3 linked regions of the Sus scrofa genome follow. The protein of the gene in region 3 purifies or fractionates together with the protein of the main gene of each other region. This does not show direct contact. Links are inferred from orthologs where the notes say so. Each region holds a gene or a part of one and is shown on either strand. Other genes may lie near its edges. The genes, in order: SIAH1, EEF1A1 and GAPDH.

Region 1 (4,233 bases), on a different chromosome or scaffold from region 3:
GATCCCGCGTTGCTGTGGCTCTGGTGTAGGCCGGTGGCTACAGCTCCGATTCAACCCCTGGCCTGGGAACCTCCATATGCCGCGGGAGCGGCCCAAGAAATAGCAACAACAACAACAACAGACAAAAAGACAAAAAAATAAAAAAAAATAAAAAAAAAAAATGTTAAAAATCATACTTGGATGGACTACGTGGAATAAATGCTAAAATAGAAACTGGACCATAAACAAGAAGGAGCTTAAGTGCAATAAAATCAGTTTTGACTGGACTTTCTCCCCCACCTCCCCTACTCATTCTGAGTCAGCTGTTACATGTGCTCCAGGGAGTTACATGTGATCCAAAGGATCACCAGGGTACTGACTTTGATTAATTCCTCCTAATGATGAACGGTTACCTGCTCTAGGAGTAATTTGGGGAATGAAAGGGGCGACAAGGGGAAGGGTCTGCTGCCATCCCACCATCCACCTCCTCTTCATCATCCATCTTCATGGAAAGTTAACACCAGCTAGGAATTAATCTTGTTTCCTACTGATCCATGCCCCCTTCAAAAGTGAGAAAGTAGAAGAGAAATGGAGGGCCATCCTCTCATAAAAGTTCTGAGTCCAGTATTTAGACACAGTAAATCATTCTACTTCCATTCTACAATATAAACCAGTATAATTTGCAAAGGTGAAGGAGAGTCAAGAAAATAAAGATCAAAAGCACCAGAGAGACTCACACAACAGTGGAGGTGAGGGATAGAGTCAACAGGTAAAGAATGCCTCGTACCCTAAAGTTCACCAGTGTTGCTGAAGCATTCATCAGCACACCAATAAACACTATTTATGAAATAAATGCCATCTGGAAGAAATGATCAACAATGTTAACTATGTGTCAGGGTGAATGAAAGATAAACTAGCAGCTTTTCCCAGGAATCTACCTTTGCTGGGATACGGTAGGCCATTTTCTTGGGGATGACAAAAGATCAGTCTACGGACGTCCTTAAGAGTATATTCCCAAGAACCCTAAGCCATATTTCTATCAAACTAAAATTTAACTCTTCAGATTTCATATTTTCCCTAACTGTAATTATTCTATCGGAAAGATCACTGTCACTAAAGGACTAAAGTTCAAGGAGAAACAAAAGTACCACAGGATTCTATCATAATGTGGCCCATCACAAGGATTTAAGACAACAGGAATCAATTCTTACCATCTGAAGCCCTGTGTAACCCAGGTGTTCTAGACCAATATAAAGGAACTCTCCTGTAATCCAGTTTTCCCCAGGAGATTTTTTTGTGCATATGATGATCTATGCATTTTATTTTAGGTCACTAGCAGAACAATGGGCTTAGCATTACCAAAATGCCCTGTATGTGTGCTGTATGCTTACTTCATAGTCCATTTTATGCTGCTTATTTTAAGAGAGCAACGTAGTAACTGGGAAGTGGTTCCTTCAGCACAAAATGATCTAAGCCACCAATGCCTTTCAATTCACTACGCCAAAACAACAAATCGCGTCAGGAGGCAGTAAACTCAGTTTGTATTCAACATAATATAACTACTAAGCAAGCAAAGCATTACTGTTTAATTTCTTGACCTAGGAAAATAGTTACACATTTATCATCAATAGTTCAGACTTATGATATAACACATATTTATTATTTTTCCAAACACTGTAGAAAAAGCACGATTTAAATTCCTATTCAAAGTGTGAAAAGCAAGCAAAATGTAGCTTGTAATTCTTATGAATGAAAGTATTACAGGACAGCAGCTGCTAAAACCTCCCAAAGCTCAGAAGATGGAACCCAGCTCCATCTTCAAACAGAAAAGGAATCCTAAGAACACAGCAGACCTGCAGTAGGAATCAAGGATTCAAGTGTCTGGACAACCCTGGAGGAGTCATTGCATAACCTGAAGTTTGTTTTAAACTGAGAAAAGTAGAGCTGCTCAAAAGAAACATCTCCAGCTCAATTACGCTGCAGCCATTCCCTGATCCATTCAAATTCCACCAGCTTATAACAACTTGCCCAATTCACAATTTAAGCAACCCAGTCTCTTAACAGTAATACCTTTTCTCTTCCTTGTCCCGGATGCTGGTAAACAAGTGAGCAAGACGCCCCTCCAGGAGTACAGAAAAGGTAAGGGAGACTTCCCGGTCATGAGAAGCCAGGCAGCTCATAGCCTTTCCCCCACGAATAGAGACTATTTGTAACAGAGGGCCCTACTGGACACCTTCCGTTCCTAAATTTGTCCAGGGTCAACTTTTCAAGACAGGAAGGCACGTGCCATGCCCCATACACTCCATTCACTCCTCAGAAGCACCGGCTACAGCGGCAGAGAAATGAAGCACCCTCCCGCCCCGAGAGGAGTCGACCACACCTCCCCATGAGCTCAAATTCGCCTGCGTCTCCAAAAATGGGAGCCATTGCTGAGCTGTCCTCTGCTGGGCCCTAAACCTTCGTCTGTCTCCCAAGTTTGTCTTCCCAAATTCATCGGCTAGGCTCTGGCCAGCTCGGTGAAGGACAGGGCTGGAGAGTGCGCAGCAGCGACTGGACGAAGCGGTGCAGCTCTCAGTCCCAGCTCTGGAGCTACCGCTGCAGGGTCCGGCCCGCGGGGAGAGCCATTTGGAGGCCTGGGCCGGGCTGCCGCTGGGAGAGCCTGCTCCAACGCAGATTGCCAGCCGGCCGAAGGCTCAAAGCACTCAGGGCGGTGGCTGCCGCGGCAGGAGAGGGGCGGGCCGGCGCATGGAGGCGGGGCTGCAAGCTCCGCCCCACTCGGCCTAGGGCGGCTCCAGGGCTCGCAGTCGCTCCTGCACGGCTCTGGCAAGAATCCCGAGCATGCAGCGCGCAACTCCCACACAGCTACCCAGCTCCGCAGAACCTCGCGATCCCCGGAGACATACCGCACGCCTCAGCTTTTCCACCGGCTTACGTGAGGTGGAAACACTCCGTTTCAGTAGGCCCAAACAGTCGGATATCGCAATTTGGGGTGGTTTCATAGCGCTACATAGAATATATGGAAAATACGTGGCCAGACAAGCACTCTTCTCTGCTCTATACTCTGCCAGTTAACCGTGCAAACTCCGGATTTTTATATAGCAAAAGCATTTGTCTACTTCATTAACTATTTATCAGATGTCAACTACCTTATTTCCTCAATTCTAACTCACTTCTCCATTTTTACCGCCGTCAGCACCTTATTTCAAACTTCCTTTCTCGATTCGAGAAGCCGTCGCAGTGAGAGTCGTAAACACATAACCATATTAAACTTCTACTTCAACGTCCAAATTGAGATTTTATTCTCTTCCCACTCTGGGAAAGCCATCTTAAACGCCCTCATTAAACAAAATAGCTTGTTTTGTTTTTAAACAAGCATTACCCTTGTCCCAATAAAGTCCTGGGCCTCAGATTCTCATTGCGTCAGCTCCAGCATTCAGAGGTTTAACCTGTCATTACATCACGCTTAGGGCAGCCTTTAAAGGGAGCAAGAGCTTGTAGTGGAGAGTGAACCCTGTGTAAATTGTAGATTGTCCATTTTCAGCATAAAATTTTAATTCAAATCACTTCCCCATCCTATTAATAGTATTCAGTCACCTCAGTCTCATTTTGATATTAGACAAAACATCATTAGGAACTGAAACATAACTGAAAATATAATCTGTCCACGGACAAATCTAAATTATTATTACCAATGTCTTTATTTTTTAATACATATTCACTCTAGCTAGGTGTTGGGTTTCTAAAGTAGAAGACTTTTAAATGTTTTAGGCAGAAAAACTCTTTCCAAACAGTATGAAGACAGAGTCCAAATTTGTAAAACAAGTAAAAAGGATGACAAATTCCTCAAACTAAAAAGTTTTTTTCCTCCAACTTCCAAAGGACCTGTATTGAAGCTTACAACACTGTCTGAAAACCATTAATCTATGGACACATTTCTCAGTAAGTCAGTCACGACAGTAAAAATGGAAGAGTTCCGGAGTCATCTACACTGGGATTCAAACCCAGCTTTCACCACCTACTCAACTGTAAAATCAGAACAGTACTGCCAGCCTTGCATGCTTTTACATGGATTAAGGGAGATGGGTAAATTACGTACATTACAGGTGGTACAGATTCCAAAATATGGAAGTATTCACTTACATAATTCCAAAAGTTAACCTGCCTTGCCTGAGGTCACCAACTAGAGACCAAGTATACCAAAGATTAACTGTCATTTAATTTTTAGCACAATATAGTAAAATGTCTAGATAGATT
Region 2 (4,175 bases), on a different chromosome or scaffold from region 3:
TGCATATGCTTCGGAGCCACTCTTAGCTCTGGCCACATAGTAGGTTCTCAAATATTTGTTGATAGATTGGCTCAAAAAGTTGCAGTAGTGCTCTACACGTGGAAGAGACGATCTAGTAATTAGCTCATTTAAAATAAAGGTTCCTCTTTCTTCAGGAATATTTTTGAATATCTGCCTGATTGCCAACCAAAAAGGCCTCATCTTGTCTTGCCCTGGATTTATGCCTAAAATGCAGTCACAATGGATAGGACGACAAAAGATGAAGCCGTTTATTCAAATGGGATAGGCCATTTTTGAGAAACAGTGATTTCACAGCAAACGTTGGAGTAGTAAATTGGGTGGATAAGCTTCCTGGCGCTGTAGATCTTAGTCTCTACTTGAGATCGTGTATAAGCACTGAACTCAAAAAATTCTTTTTAGGTTTTTCATGCTTGCAACCAAGAGTATACACTGGAAAAAAAATGTTAATAGGAGGGTAGACACACACTCAGGGTCTTAAACGTAATAAAATTAGGATTAGAAGTAAAGAAAACTGTAGTACTTAAGTCTATTCTAAACTCAAAAACTGGACGTCTGGAGTACCACGTGGTGTGTAGAACGAACTTAGATAAAAGAACTGAATGGAAAAAGCCAAGAGGTCAGCGCAGGAGCCTGTTCGCCAGGCTGTTGGTCAGCAAACTGAGCCACTCGCGGATTCTCGGCCCTGAAGACCGCCCCGAGGCCCCTGCCGCCGCGGTTCCCCGGCCTTTTACGCCTCCCTCTCCAGCCGGAAGGGGCGCGGACGGCAAGGGCGGTGGAGAAGCCCCGGCAGAGGAAGCGGCTCCAGGGGTTAGTCCTTAACCTGCGAGACCGCAAGACTGAGGACCGGTGGGGTACTGCCGGGTAAGGGCTCCCATCTCGGTCCAACTTTGCAGTTAAGCTACGACCGGTTCAGGGAAGATTCTGGACGCCTCCCCGCCGCCCCACCCCCCAGCTGTGCGGAGAGTAATTCATACAAAAGGAGGACTCTCCTCAGCCAGGGAAATCCCAGGGACCGTCGATAAACTCCCACTAAACCTAGAACCGAGTGAGCGCTCGACCCCGCCTCCCACCCACCAGCAGTCGTCATCCTCCTGGTTGAGAGGAGCATGCGCCGGGCGCCGTGTGCTCGTCAGTGGGCTGAACGCACATCGCCCACGGTCCCCGAAGATGGGGGGAGGGGACGGCGGTGGAACCGGTGCCGGGTGGAGGTGGCGCGGGGTAAACTGGGAAAGTGGTGTCGTGTGCTGGCTCCGCCCTTTTCCCCGAGGGTGGGGGAGGACCATATATAAGCGCCGTGGTCCCCGCGAACGTTCTTTTTCGCAACGGGTTTGCCGCCAGGACACAGGTGAGTACGGGTGTGGCCTCCGTCCGCATGGCCTCCGCCGGTGGCCACGGCCTTAGCGTGCCTCCCGGCCCCCCGCGCGTAGAGGGCTCTGCGCCCTGGTCCTGATTCCGAGCTGCGGGCGGGGGGAGGTGGAGAACTCGAGGCCCTCCGCTCTCGCGGTTCCCTACCGCGTGCCCGGTGGCGGCCTGCTGGGGCGCCGTGGCCGCCGCGTGCGATCCGCGCCTTCGCGCCCGCCCCGTCTGTCTTCGCGCTCGAGTTCGGCCGGCAGCCGCGTGTTACTGCCAGGGCGGCCCAGCCGAGGCCGCCCAAGGTGGCCTCCGTGCCCGGCGGTCCCGGGGCAGACGGCCGCGGCGGGGCGGGGCGGGCGGTCGGAGACCCAGCGCCCCGCCCGGGCGGGCTGCGAGCGCGGAAAGATGGCCGCTCCCGGTCTCAAGATGGAGGACGCGGACGGCGGGCGGCGCACAAAGGGCCGGGCGGTGCTGCCCGCGCCGCTTCCCGGGACTCGCGGCCCGGGTGGGGGAGGGGCTGGGCGCCGGGGCGGCCCCGTTCGCTGGGTGTAGGCCGGGCAGGGCCCGCAGGGCGCCGGTGCTAATGCTCCCTGGAGTTTGCCCTTGGCTGTTGGGGTTGTGCCTGAGTCTCCGGTCGTCGGGACAGTAGTTTAAAGAAGGTTTTTGTCGTCTTAGGTGTCGTGAAAGCCATCGCTAAAAGCTAAGCAAAAATGGGAAAGGAGAAGACTCACATCAACATCGTCGTCATCGGACACGTCGATTCGGGCAAGTCCACCACTACTGGCCATCTGATCTACAAATGCGGTGGGATCGACAAAAGAACCATCGAAAAGTTCGAAAAAGAGGCTGCGGAGGTCGGTAAAGTAACGTCAGCAAATTAAGTGGTAGTTCTCTAAAACTAGTGTATATCTGACTTGAACTAGTACATTGCAAAGTTTGCTAAGTGGCTTAACTCCAGCCAAGTTTAGGAGATGGAAGTGAAACCTAGCATTGCTTCCAAGTGGGACTAAGGAGTTTAGTTACCGAGTAACCCTTCTTAATCCCTGCAGATGGGAAAGGGCTCCTTCAAGTATGCCTGGGTCTTGGACAAACTAAAGGCTGAACGTGAGCGTGGTATTACCATTGACATCTCCCTGTGGAAATTCGAGACCAGCAAGTACTACGTGACCATCATTGATGCTCCAGGACACAGAGACTTTATTAAGAACATGATTACAGGCACTTCCCAGGTTTGTAGGATTAAGAACTCCTGAGAGTAACATTTTGAGTTATCTATAAATTGGCGAAACCATGGATCTGTCCTTTTTGGAGAGGTTTTCACAGGGTGTGGCCTTTTTTTCTTTTTTAAAGGCTGACTGTGCTGTCCTGATTGTTGCTGCTGGTGTTGGTGAATTCGAAGCAGGTATTTCCAAGAACGGGCAGACCCGTGAGCATGCTCTTCTGGCCTACACCCTGGGTGTGAAACAGCTCATTGTTGGCGTTAACAAAATGGATTCCACTGAGCCACCCTACAGCCAGAAGAGATATGAAGAGATTGTAAAGGAAGTCAGCACCTACATTAAGAAAATTGGCTACAACCCTGATACAGTAGCATTTGTGCCAATTTCTGGCTGGAATGGTGACAACATGCTGGAGCCAAGTGCTAATGTAAGTGGTTTTGATGAGTTCTCAAAACTTAAGTCTGGGAAGGGATAAGTTTGAAAACACTAATTGATGATCTTGTGTTTTAGATGCCTTGGTTCAAGGGATGGAAAGTCACCCGTAAAGATGGCAATGCCAGTGGAACCACACTGCTTGAAGCTCTGGATTGCATTCTACCACCAACTCGTCCAACTGACAAGCCCTTGCGCCTGCCCCTCCAGGACGTCTACAAAATTGGTGGTAAGTTGAACGTTACACTCAGCTGGTATGGGTTGCAGTGATGTTTGTCTTCATACGAGATAATTATGCTGTGCTGTGAATACTTCAGGTATTGGTACAGTCCCTGTGGGCCGAGTGGAGACCGGTGTTCTCAAACCTGGCATGGTGGTCACCTTTGCTCCAGTCAATGTTACAACTGAAGTCAAGTCTGTTGAAATGCACCATGAAGCTTTGAGTGAAGCCCTTCCTGGGGACAACGTGGGCTTTAATGTCAAAAACGTGTCTGTCAAAGACGTTCGTCGTGGCAATGTGGCTGGTGACAGCAAAAATGACCCACCTATGGAAGCAGCTGGCTTTACAGCTCAGGTAACACTTCAGTGACAGGTTTTTAAACTGCCAGAACCTTAACTGTCTAAATGTCTAAAATGTGCTAAATGCAAATTTTCTCCCTAAGGTGATTATCCTGAACCATCCTGGCCAGATCAGTGCTGGTTACGCACCTGTGCTGGATTGCCACACAGCTCACATTGCCTGCAAGTTTGCTGAACTGAAGGAGAAGATTGATCGTCGTTCTGGGAAAAAGCTGGAAGATGGCCCCAAGTTCTTGAAATCTGGTGATGCTGCCATTGTCGATATGGTTCCTGGCAAGCCCATGTGTGTTGAGAGCTTCTCTGACTATCCTCCTCTGGGTAAGAGTGCCTTTTTAGTGTAATTAAGCTTCAGTAAAAATGGAAAAGCAGTTATGTAGAGAAAGTGTTTCTCATGGTGATTTAATTTTTGTTTTAATAGGCCGATTTGCTGTTCGTGACATGAGACAGACAGTTGCTGTGGGTGTCATCAAAGCTGTGGACAAGAAGGCAGCTGGAGCTGGCAAGGTCACCAAGTCTGCTCAGAAAGCTCAGAAGGCTAAATGAATATTATCCCCAATACCTGCCACCCCA
Region 3 (4,387 bases):
CCATCACAAACATGGGGGCATCGGCAGAAGGGGCAGAGATGATGACCCTCTTGGCCCCACCCTTCAAGTGAGCCTGCAGCAGAGGAGCAGTCAGACACCCGGGCTTCCCCTTTCCTGGTCCAAGTCAGCCTCCCCCAGTCTCCCCGCTACACCAACCCCGCGGTTAGGTCCCCTCCTCTTTCGGTTCCCTGCCGCTCACCCCGGCCTTCTCCATGGTCGTGAAGACACCAGTGGACTCCACAACATACGTAGCACCAGCATCACCCCATTTGATGTTGGCGGGATCTCGCCTAGAAGGGAAGACAGGACAAAGTTCAGGGGCGCGGGGGACCACAGACCCAAGGTGGTCACCCCGTCCCAGCACCACCTCCTCCAAGGCAAAGCTCTTCCGGTTCCGTCTTCCATACTTACTCCTGGAAGATGGTGATGGCCTTTCCATTGATGACAAGCTTCCCGTTCTCCGCCTTGACTGTGCCGTGGAACTTGCCGTGGGTGGAATCATACTGGAACATGTAGACCTGGGGGGGACGAGGGAGGGCATCAAGGGGCTGCGCCCTGGCAGGCTCTGTCCCCGCCCCCGCCACGGGGGCCACTCACCATGTAGTGGAGGTCAATGAAGGGGTCATTGATGGCGACAATGTCCACTTTGCCAGAGTTAAAAGCAGCCCTGGTGACCAGGCGCCCGATGCGGCCAAATCTGAGGGGGACAAGAGGCGAGGAGGGAGGAGTGAGCTCTCCTGGAGATGTAAGCAGTCCCAGGCCCACGCGCCCGCTGTCAGCGCGGGCACTTTCCTACCAGGAGATCTCATTTCCTCCTCCTCGCACAACCCTGCCAGACCAGCCTGGCTTCCCAGCACAGCCACAAAGTGAAAAGCTCCCATCCTGCCCAAGAGGTGATGAAGCTCCGAGACAGGCCCACACCCCCTGGTCATCTGAAATCTGTTAAGGGGTGACAGGGTGGTGCACTGCTGCTGCCACCTACAGTCTGGGCACATGGCCGGCACATGGCATTCCTCAGGCCCACTGTCGGTAAATGCTTGTTCCTATCTGGCCAGCTTCAGGCCACACCCTCTAGGGAGCAAAATCTTGCACACTTGGCATCACCCAGCTCAAAGGGCAAGAGCAAAGGTCAGAAGTTAACTGGCCAGGGAAACCCCCCCCCTTCCCCAAGTCCCTCCTACAAAAGGGAAAGCCGTTTCTCAAACCCAGAATCCCGGGCTTCTGATTTGTTAGGAACCTGTCTTTGTTAGCTCTTTTCCCAAAATCAGGAGTGGGAGCAATAGACGTGTGGGGAGCGGGGGGGAAGGAGAGGGAGAAGCCCAGGCCCCCAGCTGCAGAAAGGTCAGGCAGCTATATTTAACCCCAGCTTAGGGTGGAGTGGGGATCTGGTTTCTGGAAGAGGGGATGGGGAGAAGGGCAGGATTCCCGAGGCTCACGGACATCTAATCCTCCTGGTGACCTTTACAGCTTGGCCTTTAGGGTGGGGTCAACCCTAGGCATGGATGGAAGGAAGCAGCTTCAAGGAGCACTGATGCAGAGACAGGGGCTGCGGCTCCGCCGGCTCCGGGAGCCATTTTGTGGAAAATTTCTAAGTACCCATGACTCAGCTCCCCCGGCATGGCACCAAGCCAACGCTACCACACCTCTCCGGAGAAAGAGAAGGGAAACAACCCGGAAACAACCCAAGACCACCCCCATAAAGCCCCGTTTTTGATTCATCAGAGAACCATCCAGAAAAAGCATCCCCTCATCCCCGGGGGGGGGAATCTGGCTGGGGCTTGAAGGGATGCTCTAGGGTTAGTTTGCTAAGAGCTGAGGTCCAGCTGACTAAGAAGGGGAAAGCGTGGCCGGACCTGGGTTACCGGATAAAGGAGACTCCACCCCACGAGGCAGGGGTAGAAGGCTTAGTCATGGGCAAGTAAGGAGAAAGATTGAAGGACTCAGGAAGATTTCCTAACGGCGGTTCATTCATTTCCTTCCTAGTTGCAACATGGCGGCTAGGTTACCGCAGATGCCCCCTCCCAGCTGGTTCTGCACAGCAGCTGTGCCTCCTGCATCCCGGGGCTGCCCGGCTGGGGGCACTGGTTGCGGCTGGGGGGATGGGCTCCTCCCCTTCACGTGACCCCGCAGGGCGCGAAAGGAAAGAAAGAGCCCCAGCTGGGGGATTAGGGGATGGGGCCAAAGCAAGAATTGGAGACTCCAGGGCTGTGTATCTGCGGCAGGTGAAGAGGAAGGCTCCGCAGAGGCGGAGTTACAGAACGCGCAACAGCCAGGGATGGGGGACACGAGGCCTTGCGAGGGCCTCCTCCAGGTCCGAGCGCTGACCTTGAGTTCTCCTTGGGGGTGGGGTACGACCACCCCATCCAAGTCCCCCACATGCTTGCACAGACCCGGTAGGGCGAGACCTGCGGACGCAATTTGGTGGGGGCTGCAGTACTTACTGCCCCACCCTGCCCCACCCCCTAACTCACCCGTTCACTCCGACCTTCACCATCGTGTCTCAGGGACGCGGCTGCCGGCAGAGGAAAGAGAACATTAGATCGCGGGGCAAAGCGGCTGGAGCCCGACGGTGCCCTCCCCGCCCCTCCCCCAGGCCTCCATCCTCGCTCTGCTCTTCTGCACGTCCTTCCTCCCCCTCAACCCGCAATGCAGGGGCCCGGCCCGGCGCAGCCACAACTCCGGCTCCAGCCGGGGCCCCGCACCCACACTCCCAGACCGCGCACGGCCCCCGGTCCCTTTCGGACCAGTCCTCGAACCCTTGTGGCTCCACTCCGCCAGGCTTTACCTGGCAATGCACGGAACACACGGCTGTCTGTCGAACGGGGAGGAGCAGAGAGCGCAGGGGAAGGCTGCAGCCGGAATTTATAGGGCAGGGGGCGGGGCGGGGGCGGGGTGACGTGGGCTCGCCTCGCCCAGTCCTAGCTCCAGCAGCGGAGGCCTGAGCTACGTGCGCCCGTAAAGTCGCGAGTAGCCGACCCCCACTTCTTCTTTTTTTTTCCTTTGGACCCGCCTGGTTCTGCCAATGTGCACGCGCCACACAAGTGGGCTGAGGACGGAGAGGGGGAGGGGACCGGTGATGCTGCCTGGCCCGGTTGGGGTTGTACTGCAGGGGGCAGTGGACTAGGAGGAGGGGGCCCTGGCGAAAACTGAGGACACCCAAGGAGCCAGGGACGTTAAAGTTGCTGCAGGGATGTAACGGGAGGATATGGGGAGCCAGTGGGATGGGAAATTGGAGCGGAACCCGGGGTTGGGGGCGCGGCTCGCAGCTCGCGGCTGCAGTCTCCCCTACCCCCCCCCCTTCAAAAGCTGAGAAGCGGGAAGATTGAGGAACTTCTCGAGGCTCTTCGGTAGTGACCCAGGAACTACAGAGGAAAAGGCCCGGGAGGGGCCTCCAGCAAGGCCCTCTCCAGCCCCCTTCCCCTTTCCCCCCTCCCCTTCTCTTGGCTCCTGGCCTCCCCGGGCTGGGGACCGCGGCTGGCCCTGGCCAGTGGGAGGCCTGGAGAGGAAGGAGGCTCGGAAGGAGGCCTGAGAGGGAAGTTTCTGCACTGAAGGTCACGATGCCCTGCAGGACAGGCAGCCTGGACATCTGAGAATCGAGCAGACAAACCAGGACCTGTGTGCACCAGCTGCTCTCCCCCAGGCCCTGGCTGGCTGGGGCCTCAGCGAGGGGACAGGATCGCTTTGGGGGGCTGGCCAGGTAGAGGCTCAGAGGTCTCCCACAAAGTTGCTCCTGGGAAATTTGAGGGCTGAGCGGCCCGGGCTGGGAGACAATGTCCCTTTCACCCCATCCAGCCCTGGGCAGAGCAGGACGTGAGAGCGGAAGTCCCTCCCCATCCTGGGACGTGCAGGCCAGCCCTGCAGTCAGGGCCTCCCTTTCACTGGCTGCGCCCAGGGGATGTTGGGGGCAGGGTGAGGTGTCCATAAGAGGGAAAAGATTGGGAGGTCTTGGACACAGGGTGGGGACAAGGGCCCCTAGCCCCTTCCCAGACGTGATGTGGAGGAGGAAATCCATTCTTCTCCAAGACCAGTCCCTCAGAAGCTGGGGCTGGGCCAGGTTTGTGAGCAGAGGATGAAAGATGGGTTGGTTCTGAGGACTTGAAGTGTTGAAGGTTCAGGGAAGGTGGGGGGAGGGTGGAATGGACGTTGCCCATTAGCAGGTGCTGGTGGAAGGAATTGGGGCCTCTTTGCTGGCCCAGCGTAACCTGAGACCAGCCCCCTTTTCCAGCTGAAAAGCCTGTGGCTAAGTTTAGCCCGCAGGATGATAACCTTTGCTTAAAAGGCAGAGAGCACGCTGCCCCGCACCCCGACTCAAGCCTGTCCTGTCCCTTCCCTTTCTGGGACTGCCCTCCTTCCTTGGGGCCCCAGATCCAAGGCTGGCTGTTGCTGG

Evidence for each region.
Region 1: the proteins of GAPDH (region 3) and SIAH1 purify together in Homo sapiens (affinity purification with western blotting; 4 studies listed by BioGRID). This does not show direct contact. The link is inferred for Sus scrofa from reciprocal best matches to the Homo sapiens genes GAPDH and SIAH1.
Region 2: the proteins of GAPDH (region 3) and EEF1A1 fractionate together in Homo sapiens (co-fractionation; 3 studies listed by BioGRID). This does not show direct contact. The link is inferred for Sus scrofa from reciprocal best matches to the Homo sapiens genes GAPDH and EEF1A1.

The regions. Positions count from the first base shown.
Region 1 is NC_010448.4:36,359,150-36,363,382, reverse strand, and holds the start of SIAH1 (E3 ubiquitin-protein ligase SIAH1), read right to left. Parts: upstream 2,824-4,233; 5' UTR 2,141-2,823; coding exon 2,050-2,140; intron 541-2,049; exon of another isoform or gene 478-540; coding exon of another isoform or gene 393-477; intron 1-392. UniProt on the Homo sapiens protein: E3 ubiquitin-protein ligase that mediates ubiquitination and subsequent proteasomal degradation of target proteins.
Region 2 is NC_010443.5:92,420,618-92,424,792, forward strand, and holds the start of EEF1A1 (elongation factor 1-alpha 1), read left to right. Parts: upstream 1-1,333; 5' UTR 1,334-1,366; intron 1,367-2,049; 5' UTR 2,050-2,084; coding exon 2,085-2,228; intron 2,229-2,423; coding exon 2,424-2,603; intron 2,604-2,724; coding exon 2,725-3,021; intron 3,022-3,104; coding exon 3,105-3,255; intron 3,256-3,343; coding exon 3,344-3,600; intron 3,601-3,688; coding exon 3,689-3,923; intron 3,924-4,023; coding exon 4,024-4,148; 3' UTR 4,149-4,175. UniProt on the Homo sapiens protein: Translation elongation factor that catalyzes the GTP-dependent binding of aminoacyl-tRNA (aa-tRNA) to the A-site of ribosomes during the elongation phase of protein synthesis.
Region 3 is NC_010447.5:64,131,154-64,135,540, forward strand, and holds the start of GAPDH (glyceraldehyde-3-phosphate dehydrogenase), read right to left. Parts: upstream 2,868-4,387; 5' UTR 2,786-2,867; intron 2,513-2,785; 5' UTR 2,495-2,512; coding exon 2,472-2,494; exon of another isoform or gene 2,379-2,471; coding exon of another isoform or gene 2,326-2,378; exon of another isoform or gene 698-2,325; coding exon 598-697; intron 519-597; coding exon 412-518; intron 291-411; coding exon 200-290; exon of another isoform or gene 74-199; coding exon 1-73. UniProt on the Homo sapiens protein: Has both glyceraldehyde-3-phosphate dehydrogenase and nitrosylase activities, thereby playing a role in glycolysis and nuclear functions, respectively.